Linked DNA regions of Oryzias latipes. The protein of the gene in region 2 binds, or shares a complex with, the protein of the main gene of each other region. Links are inferred from orthologs where the notes say so. Each region holds a gene or a part of one and is shown on either strand. Other genes may lie near its edges.

Evidence for each region.
Region 1: ercc2 (region 2) and polr2j share a complex: the UniProt entries of both Homo sapiens proteins name them as parts of the TBP-based Pol II pre-initiation complex. The link is inferred for Oryzias latipes from reciprocal best matches to the Homo sapiens genes ERCC2 and POLR2J.

The regions. Positions count from the first base shown.
Region 1 is NC_019863.2:18,095,504-18,098,954, forward strand, and holds polr2j (DNA-directed RNA polymerase II subunit RPB11-a), read right to left. Parts: upstream 1,965-3,451; 5' UTR 1,925-1,964; coding exon 1,710-1,924; intron 1,399-1,709; coding exon 1,290-1,398; intron 907-1,289; coding exon 805-906; 3' UTR 729-804; downstream 1-728. Other genes in the region: dnttip1 (deoxynucleotidyltransferase terminal-interacting protein 1), read left to right, coding at 313-421. UniProt on the Homo sapiens protein: Core component of RNA polymerase II (Pol II), a DNA-dependent RNA polymerase which synthesizes mRNA precursors and many functional non-coding RNAs using the four ribonucleoside triphosphates as substrates.
Region 2 is NC_019871.2:4,134,672-4,138,932, reverse strand, and holds the start of ercc2 (general transcription and DNA repair factor IIH helicase subunit XPD), read right to left. Parts: upstream 3,063-4,261; 5' UTR 2,892-3,062; coding exon 2,887-2,891; intron 2,709-2,886; coding exon 2,609-2,708; intron 2,492-2,608; coding exon 2,414-2,491; intron 2,346-2,413; coding exon 2,283-2,345; intron 2,212-2,282; coding exon 2,098-2,211; intron 2,022-2,097; coding exon 1,905-2,021; intron 1,818-1,904; coding exon 1,701-1,817; intron 1,002-1,700; coding exon 878-1,001; intron 802-877; coding exon 705-801; intron 168-704; coding exon 34-167; intron 1-33. UniProt on the Homo sapiens protein: ATP-dependent 5'-3' DNA helicase. Component of the general transcription and DNA repair factor IIH (TFIIH) core complex, not absolutely essential for minimal transcription in vitro.

The DNA.
Region 1 (3,451 bases), on a different chromosome or scaffold from region 2:
AATGCTCTTCTTTAGCAAGCTCACATCATTGGATAGTAAAGATATTTTAAAATCTCAAATGTTTAATAAAACAAAAACGCTCTGAAGGAACACCCTCAGCTTCATGGATCAGAACCTGCAGACATTTTCGGTTTTTACTGTTGCTTCAGCAGATTGTGTAGTTTGAGTGACTTCACCCTGAAACGCATTTAAGTTTTGATCACAATACTAGACCCTTTAACACTGAAATGTAGAATGGCTGTCATTGGCGGCTCTAGCTTTTCCGTTGTTGCTGTGATTGCCATGGGTACAGATGTGTGTGTGTGTGTGCAGAGAGTCTCCTGAAGTGAGAATGGACGAGCTGAAGCCGTTCACCGTTCCAATTTGGATGGTGGAGAAGATGCAGCAAGCCATGGAGGTGCAGAAAAATGTTGACCCCTGACCTCACAACGATCATGCCCCTCACCCCTCTCCCCCCCAATTCTATGCTGTTTTTATAAAATCTCAATAAAAGTGTTGCTTTGCCATCTTGTCTTTTTCATTTGACAATGTTTGAGCGGAGAGAAGCAAATCCTTGGTTTCTGAATGAAAGTGATCCTTGGAGGTTCCTGTCATCATACTGATCAGCTGGATCAGATGCAGCTTTGTGTTGCAGCTACTTTCACACAAGAATTCTGACCCCAAAAGATCAAACCGTTTCCTTGTGAGAGTCATCTCAGCTGATGCTCAATATCAAGTCTCTCACAAAACAGGGAGTGGCATCACATTTATTTAGAAAAAACAACAGAAATGAAGATAAACAGGAAATTTTGTGATGGGCTTAAATCACTCAATGCCTTCTTGTTTGTCTTTGATGGCGACCCTGAAGCGTTCCTCCAGCAGCGACAGCTCACTAATCAAGTCAGTGATGGCGTTTGTGAAGGCTTCCTGTTGAAAAGACAATTTCCTTTAATGAAATACCACCTCAGTCCCTGTCAGCAATGACAAACAAGCACACATGAAAAATGACAAACTTCAAAAACATTTGACTCTGAAAACAATTCTATAGGTAGGAATTTATAACCTCAATATTCCTGTCATTTTTGAAAAGGTGTTTGCTGCAGTTCTAAGAATATTTTTTTGGAATGACAACTCCAATTTTGTCAAATGTTTAAATCACTAAAAGCTCTCATAATCTAATACAGCCTGTAAAAATAAATCAACAAAAAAATTGAATCATAACTGATTTGCACTGAATCGAAACAAGAAGTGTGTCAAAGAAAAAAGCTGCATAAGACCGTTTGTGTTTACACGCTGGGTCTTTGCCTTACCTGTGGACTGTAGTCAGGGGTGGTCTGCACTCGGATGACGATTTTATGTTCCAGGGGATGGGGAACCTTATAACCAGCAAACAAAACCTGAGGATCCTTCAGCAGCTGACTGACAGTGACACACAGGAGAAAAAATATGTGACAACCCTGCTGCATAGATAGATCATAGACGGACTGTGTTTTCATCATGAAAATTGAGCATGAAATTCATGCGCGTCACTCTCGTTTATACATGTAAGTCTTGGAAATTAAACACAAAGGTCACACAATAACACTCCTTATTAGCTAACCAAAACGTCAAGGAATGATAAGCGGGGCTAACAGAACCAGTCAGAAACTGGCTTCTTCTTCTATAATCTATCCATCCAGAGACTGTTAGCTCTGTGACAGTCTGTCTGTTTGTGCATGCGCGGTTCTTACGCTCGGATGATGTTTCCCAGCGTGTGGTCCTCCTTATTGAGCGTGAACAGACATGCGTTCGGCACTTTCGTGTCCTTACTGATGCTGATTTTTTTCTCTCCTTCAAATAGAAGGAATGACTCGAAAGCAGGAGGCGCGTTCATCTTTCCGCGCGACTCAGTGCGCTGGGAACACACCGGAAGTCTTGATATAGAACTTCCGCTCGGAACACACATCCAGATTCCGAGTGGAGCGCCCTCTCCTGGTAGGTATATGAAATTGGTTCTTTGTTTCTTTTACAGCAGCAGTCAAAGCCATGCCTCCATTGTCTCCTAAAAAAAGTTTGGGTTGGGAACAAGTAGCTGTTCTGAGTAAAAGGATATAATTACTAGTAAAGACAAATACGAGATCAACATGATGAAAATCAACAATGTACTTTTTATTAATTTTATTATTTATTTTCATTAACATTTATATAACTAGGTTAAAAGCCTATTGAGATCAACATCCCTTTTTGCAATGTGACCTGGTCAAGAGGTCAGCAGCACATGTCATAAAACATGATAACGATACAAAATAAAACAATAGGATTGGATTAAAATGAAAAGTTTAAAATTAAAGTAGATGTAAAACAGTCAGACATCCGGTGCAAAAACAGATGAGAATGTTAAAGTACAAGAGATGCAAGCTGCACTAGTTGTTCAACAAATTAAAAGCACAGCCACTGATGGATGGACTCCCTTCTTATGCTACACAGAAAAGAAACAAAAAAATCCAAATTAAACAAGTTTTATGTTTTAAGTTGTGTTTATGGTATGTTTATGTACTTTATGTGGTCTGAACCTTTAATCAGTGTCCATCCGCCTGTGTTGTGTGGCTTAAAGAAAGTCTCTAAACCTTTCTTTATCTGTAATTTCAGAGCCAGGATCCTGGCTGTTACTTTTGGTGTAAACTTTAACTGCAGCTTTAAAGTATGTGATGTGAAATTTTAAAAAAATTGTATTTTAGTTGAAAGCCTAAGGGAGCTGCATTGTAGAGCAGTGGCCGTACAGCAAGATGGCCCTGGTTCAAATCCTGCCTGGGGTCAATTTAGGTGGGGTTTGTTCTCTTTATAAATGCATGGGTTTTCTCCAGGCACTCTGGCTTCCTCCCACAGTCTAAAAACATGCTTTGTAGGTCAATTGATTACCAGTATTTTAAATTGTCCCTTAGGTGTGCATGCGAGTGTATGGCTCTACAACAGAATGGGGACCTGTTCAGGGTGTACCCCACCTTTGCCCAATTGTTGCTGGATTGGCTCCAGCAGCCCTGTGACCACGAAAAGGATTCAGTTAGTACAGGAGATAAATGGATAAATGGATCAAAGCCTGAGGGATATGGCTCTAAAATAGCATAATGTAGTCCATGTTAACAGGTAACTGATTGGTCGTTGGCCATATTTCTCTCTACAATACAAGGAAATGATTTGCAGATGAACAATCATATATTTTGTGCGCAGAAACAGCTGCTTCTCAGAGAAAAGCTGTCGCCTAAATGAAGCTGTTACTGAAGCATCTTTCAAATGTCATGTTCAGTTCATGTATCAGTAATGAACTTATTTTCCCAGTTTGGCACCTTCTGTTCTGGTGATCTTAATTATGTTTTGATCACTACGCTTTCTTTTTTTTACTTATGGTGAATTTCTCCTTAGATACAATTGTGCTCATCATGGACGGTTCTGCCATCAGCTGCACGTGGTGGCTACAGATGAAGATGGAGAATAG
Region 2 (4,261 bases):
AACCAGAACCCCACGGCCAGACCGAGCTCCAACCTTGCAGGATTTCATCAGGTAAAACCGGATTTGCCAGGTAGACGTCCGTCTCCCTGGCAACGTTGGCCTCCTTCAGCCCTTCCACCAGCCGCCGGTACTCCTCCCTCAGCTTGGCGGCATCCGTGTCCTTGATCCTGCAGATGAGAACGAATCGGATGAGAGGAGCTGGAATGAAGCACACATGACCGATTCCTGAAATTATTTAACAGAAATTCTCAGATTATGGTAATAAAAACACGCCTATTTGCTTTTATTTCTCCATATGGAGGACCAGCTGATTAACCGACACTTCCAGGATGAAGAAAAAATCCTTGAACCTAGAGGCAGGAAACTTCAGGATTTTTCTCTTTAATTCAGTTTGGATCAAACAGAAGCGTCTTATTTTTCCACCCAAAGATGTTTATAGAAATAAGAAAAAAAACAGTTTTGACTCCAAGCTCTGATGTTTTCAGAATCAACATTTGAATTTGATTTCCTTTCATAATTGAGCTTTTTTTTTTTTTTAATATGGATGAGTCTGATTTATGGTTAATGACAAACAGAAACTCCATTACCCACAATTCCTGGTGCCATTAGGGTTTTACAGCTCAAATTTTTGGGGGTTTTAACGCAGAAAACTCCAGATGTTTTTCGTCCTGGTGTGGATAAAAGCAGACTGGGCTGCGTCTCACTTCTGGATGGTGTGCTGAAGTGTTTCCACGTTGCTCTGACAGCGGTCCAGAGTCCTCCTGGTGATGTTCACGCTCATGGAGTCGATGCAAACGTTGTCTGAGGAACGAAGCGGACAAAAAAAGATGAAGGGGAAGAAAAGAAAAATGAAACAAACTAAAGAGAGACGGTTTACCGATGTTATGAGCTTCATCGAACACGACCACCGATTTCTTGGCGAGCTCTTTGGACACCAGATCTGCGATCTTTGGGTCTAGGAGGTAGTGGTAGCTGTACACCACAATGTTGGCGTGAAGAATCTTAGGACAGAAAAATGAGATTTTAAATAGAAAAAAAAAACATGAAGTTAATGCCAACAGTCATTAAAAATCACAAACTAAACATGAGTTTGGATTATTTTCTTTGGTAAATAGTGACGTTTTTAACTTTCTCAAGAACACAGCCATATAGAAGCAGAAGGCAGAGAGAAGGTCACATGACTTGGTTCAGGTCAGAGGTCATGACTCTTTGTCATGACGTTTCTTGGAAGCTGTGGTCAAACTAAGGACATCAGAAGAGAAGTCAAGCATGGGGGTGGTTGTGTGATGGTCAGGGGCAGCTTTTCATCTTCACCGACTACTTCATAAATTTTAACTTCTTCAGGGAAAATCTCGAAGAAGAAAGTCCATCTGAAGCTCCAGAGCTCTGCGGCAGCATGAGGTTTGCTGAATGGATCAAACATCAAGTTTCTGTGACGACCACGTCAAAGTTTGGACTTAGATCGAACAGATTAACAGTCGTTGATGAAAAATCCTCCAGTCCTTTACAGAAACGGACTGACAGGTGTCTGAGCAACCTGACTGCAGCTGCAGCTGCAGCTGCGCAGTTGGGCTGCTTTGATCTGGATTTTAATTGGAATTGGTTAAATGGACACAAAGGAAAACATTCTCCAGATCCATTCAGTCCCTGAAAGGGTTAAAGGTCAGGCACGTGCTGAGCGCCTCTGCTTGGTTACATACCGAATACCGAGCCAGGTAATAAGGACACCAGCCTTTTCGTCTGCCAAAGTCCTTCAGGTCGTCCAGGTTGTAGATGCCGGCAGGAAGGGGAACCTGCCGACCGACGGCGTCAAACTCCTGAGACACAAACCCAACATTCGCAGAGCTTCAGCCACGTTGACGTTCATGCGGTCCGATTTCCCGTAAGCTGAGGCGATTTTCTACCTCGTAGAAGCGGCAGACAGGCTGGTCGGGGTTGCTGTGGCGCTGAGCCCGGATGTAGGACGCCGTCAGGCTGTGGCACTTCCCGTCTACCTCCTTCCCAAAGCGCAGAGAGCTCACCTGATGGACGAGGGAGCTTCCTGTTTGATCAACATTTCCAGAAAGCACGGAAACCCTCAGCTTTCAGGGTTTTTACCTCAGGATGGATGCAGAGATTTTTCCTGGAAGACAGCGCCAGAGCCAGGAAGTTGTTGACTTCTCCGGTTTCTTTAGCGTAAAACTCCATCAGCTTCCTCAGCTCCTCCACGACCTAGATGAGCGGAGGACTTGAAAAGCTCCTGGAGATTTGCTCGTCGTTGGCTGCGGAGGGGTCAGACTCACCTTCTCGATCTCAGGAACTGTCCTGGAGCAGTAGATTAACTTGGTCACATCCAGCGGGAACGCCTGAGAATCAAATAAAGCTTAGAGCAGCTGTCGCCATGAAGGCTCAGAAGGTGCAGAGCTGGACTCACCTTCTGATAGGCCACAATGAGGGACAGCAGGGAGATGGTCTTCCCTGTTCCTGAAGGCATCTCCAGTACTCCATGACCCTGAAACGCAGACACAACACAGTCACTTCACCGTCTCCAGTGAGTTTTCCTGGTTTATGAAATTACCGCACTACATTTCCCAGAAACCCATCTAACACCCGAGTGAAAGAAGCCCACCTTTGCGTCCAGGGTCCTCTTCAGCTCCAGCATGTAGGAGTACTGCTCCGGATAGATGTAATCATACGGAAAATACACCAGCAGACCTTCTATGTTCAACCTGCGACCAAACAGCAAACAGACTGAATAAAACAGCCCAATGCAGACACACGCAAACACTTTAACAGACGAAAAACTTTTCTTTGCTAGCTCTGTCAACACAAACCAAACATTAGCATTAGCATCAACACGTGCTGGTTTAGACTTTTTGTTTACGTCACAGTAACAAAAGAACTCACTTCATCTTCTAAAGAGAAACTTTCCAAAAACTTTCGTCTTTGATTTACGACAGATTGGTCCTTTTAAAGTGAACAGATTTAGGATAACTACACAGAGAACACCAAAATGTTAACGACTTCTTCTTCTTCTACTGTTGTTGTTGTTGCCGGCGTTTCTAAACGCTCTACCACCTGCAGGCAGGAAGAAGAACTGCAGGAACATTAAGAAGAGTCACATGCAAAAGGCATTCTTTTATGGAAGCATTTCTGTTGCACAATTCAAAAACAAAAGTCAAAACCAGAAATGCTTTTATTTTTGAATTATGCAACAGAAATGCTTCCATACTAAATAAAGCCCCTCTGTGAAACATACGAAAAAAAGTCTCTTTGCCTGTAATGTGCATTTTCCCCAGCAGAGGGCAACAATGTTCAGCTCCTGCTCAAACTTCAACCAGCGTTAGAAAATGTGACGTCAGACCCCTCAATGTTTTGATTTTTTCTTTTAATTTCAGAATTTCATTCTTTTTCAAATATTAGTCTTGTATTTTAATCGACAAATATAAGTCGAAAAATTGTGTTAAAAATCTAAAATACGAAGATGATTACAGGAGATTATTTGGTTCTAATGTTCTGTTTTTAAATTGAAAAAGAAGTTTCTCTTTTTTTGTCATCTTTCCTTAAATGAAAAAAATAAGCACGCCATTGAATTCAGAATTCAAAGTTAGGCATCAGTTTTTAACTCTGATGAATATTTTTACACTAATGTGGGGATGGGTGCTGTTTTTACACCCCTGTTCAACAATTTTGGTTATGCAAGTCTTGTGTGCGCCTGTCTGTGTGCATTTGAGATAAATCTATCGAGCCATTTTTATGCACCCGTGCCGGTCTACCACGTAATACATTCATTTATTCTAATACATTTTCGCAACTTCTGAGACGTGTGCAAAAATTGGTTAGTTTTTTAAGCCTCAAATAGGCGAGTCTTTACTCGGAATAATAATAAACATTTTAAAAACCATAGAGTCCTTGCAATCCCTCTGCTCGGGCCCTAATGTGTTTATTTCACTGCTTTTTATTTCAAAACTGCAGCTTTACACTACGGCCATCAGAGGGCGGTATTTCATCAGCATTAAAGTCCATTTCTTATATTAATCCCATTTTGTTGCAAAAACCAAAATGTAAATAAAATAAAGTGTGATTCTGTTAATCTAATAAAAGCGATTTACAGAGCAACTACTGACACCTTTTCTATTATTTTCCAAGAATTTAAATGAACATTTAACAAAGTCATGAAGATTTGTGCTCAACTTCCACATGTTTATGACATCCTTTGTCCATAAAATGTGCACCGATTGGTTTTAGTTGGAAAAATAGCTGAAACTCACCTCAATTAGGC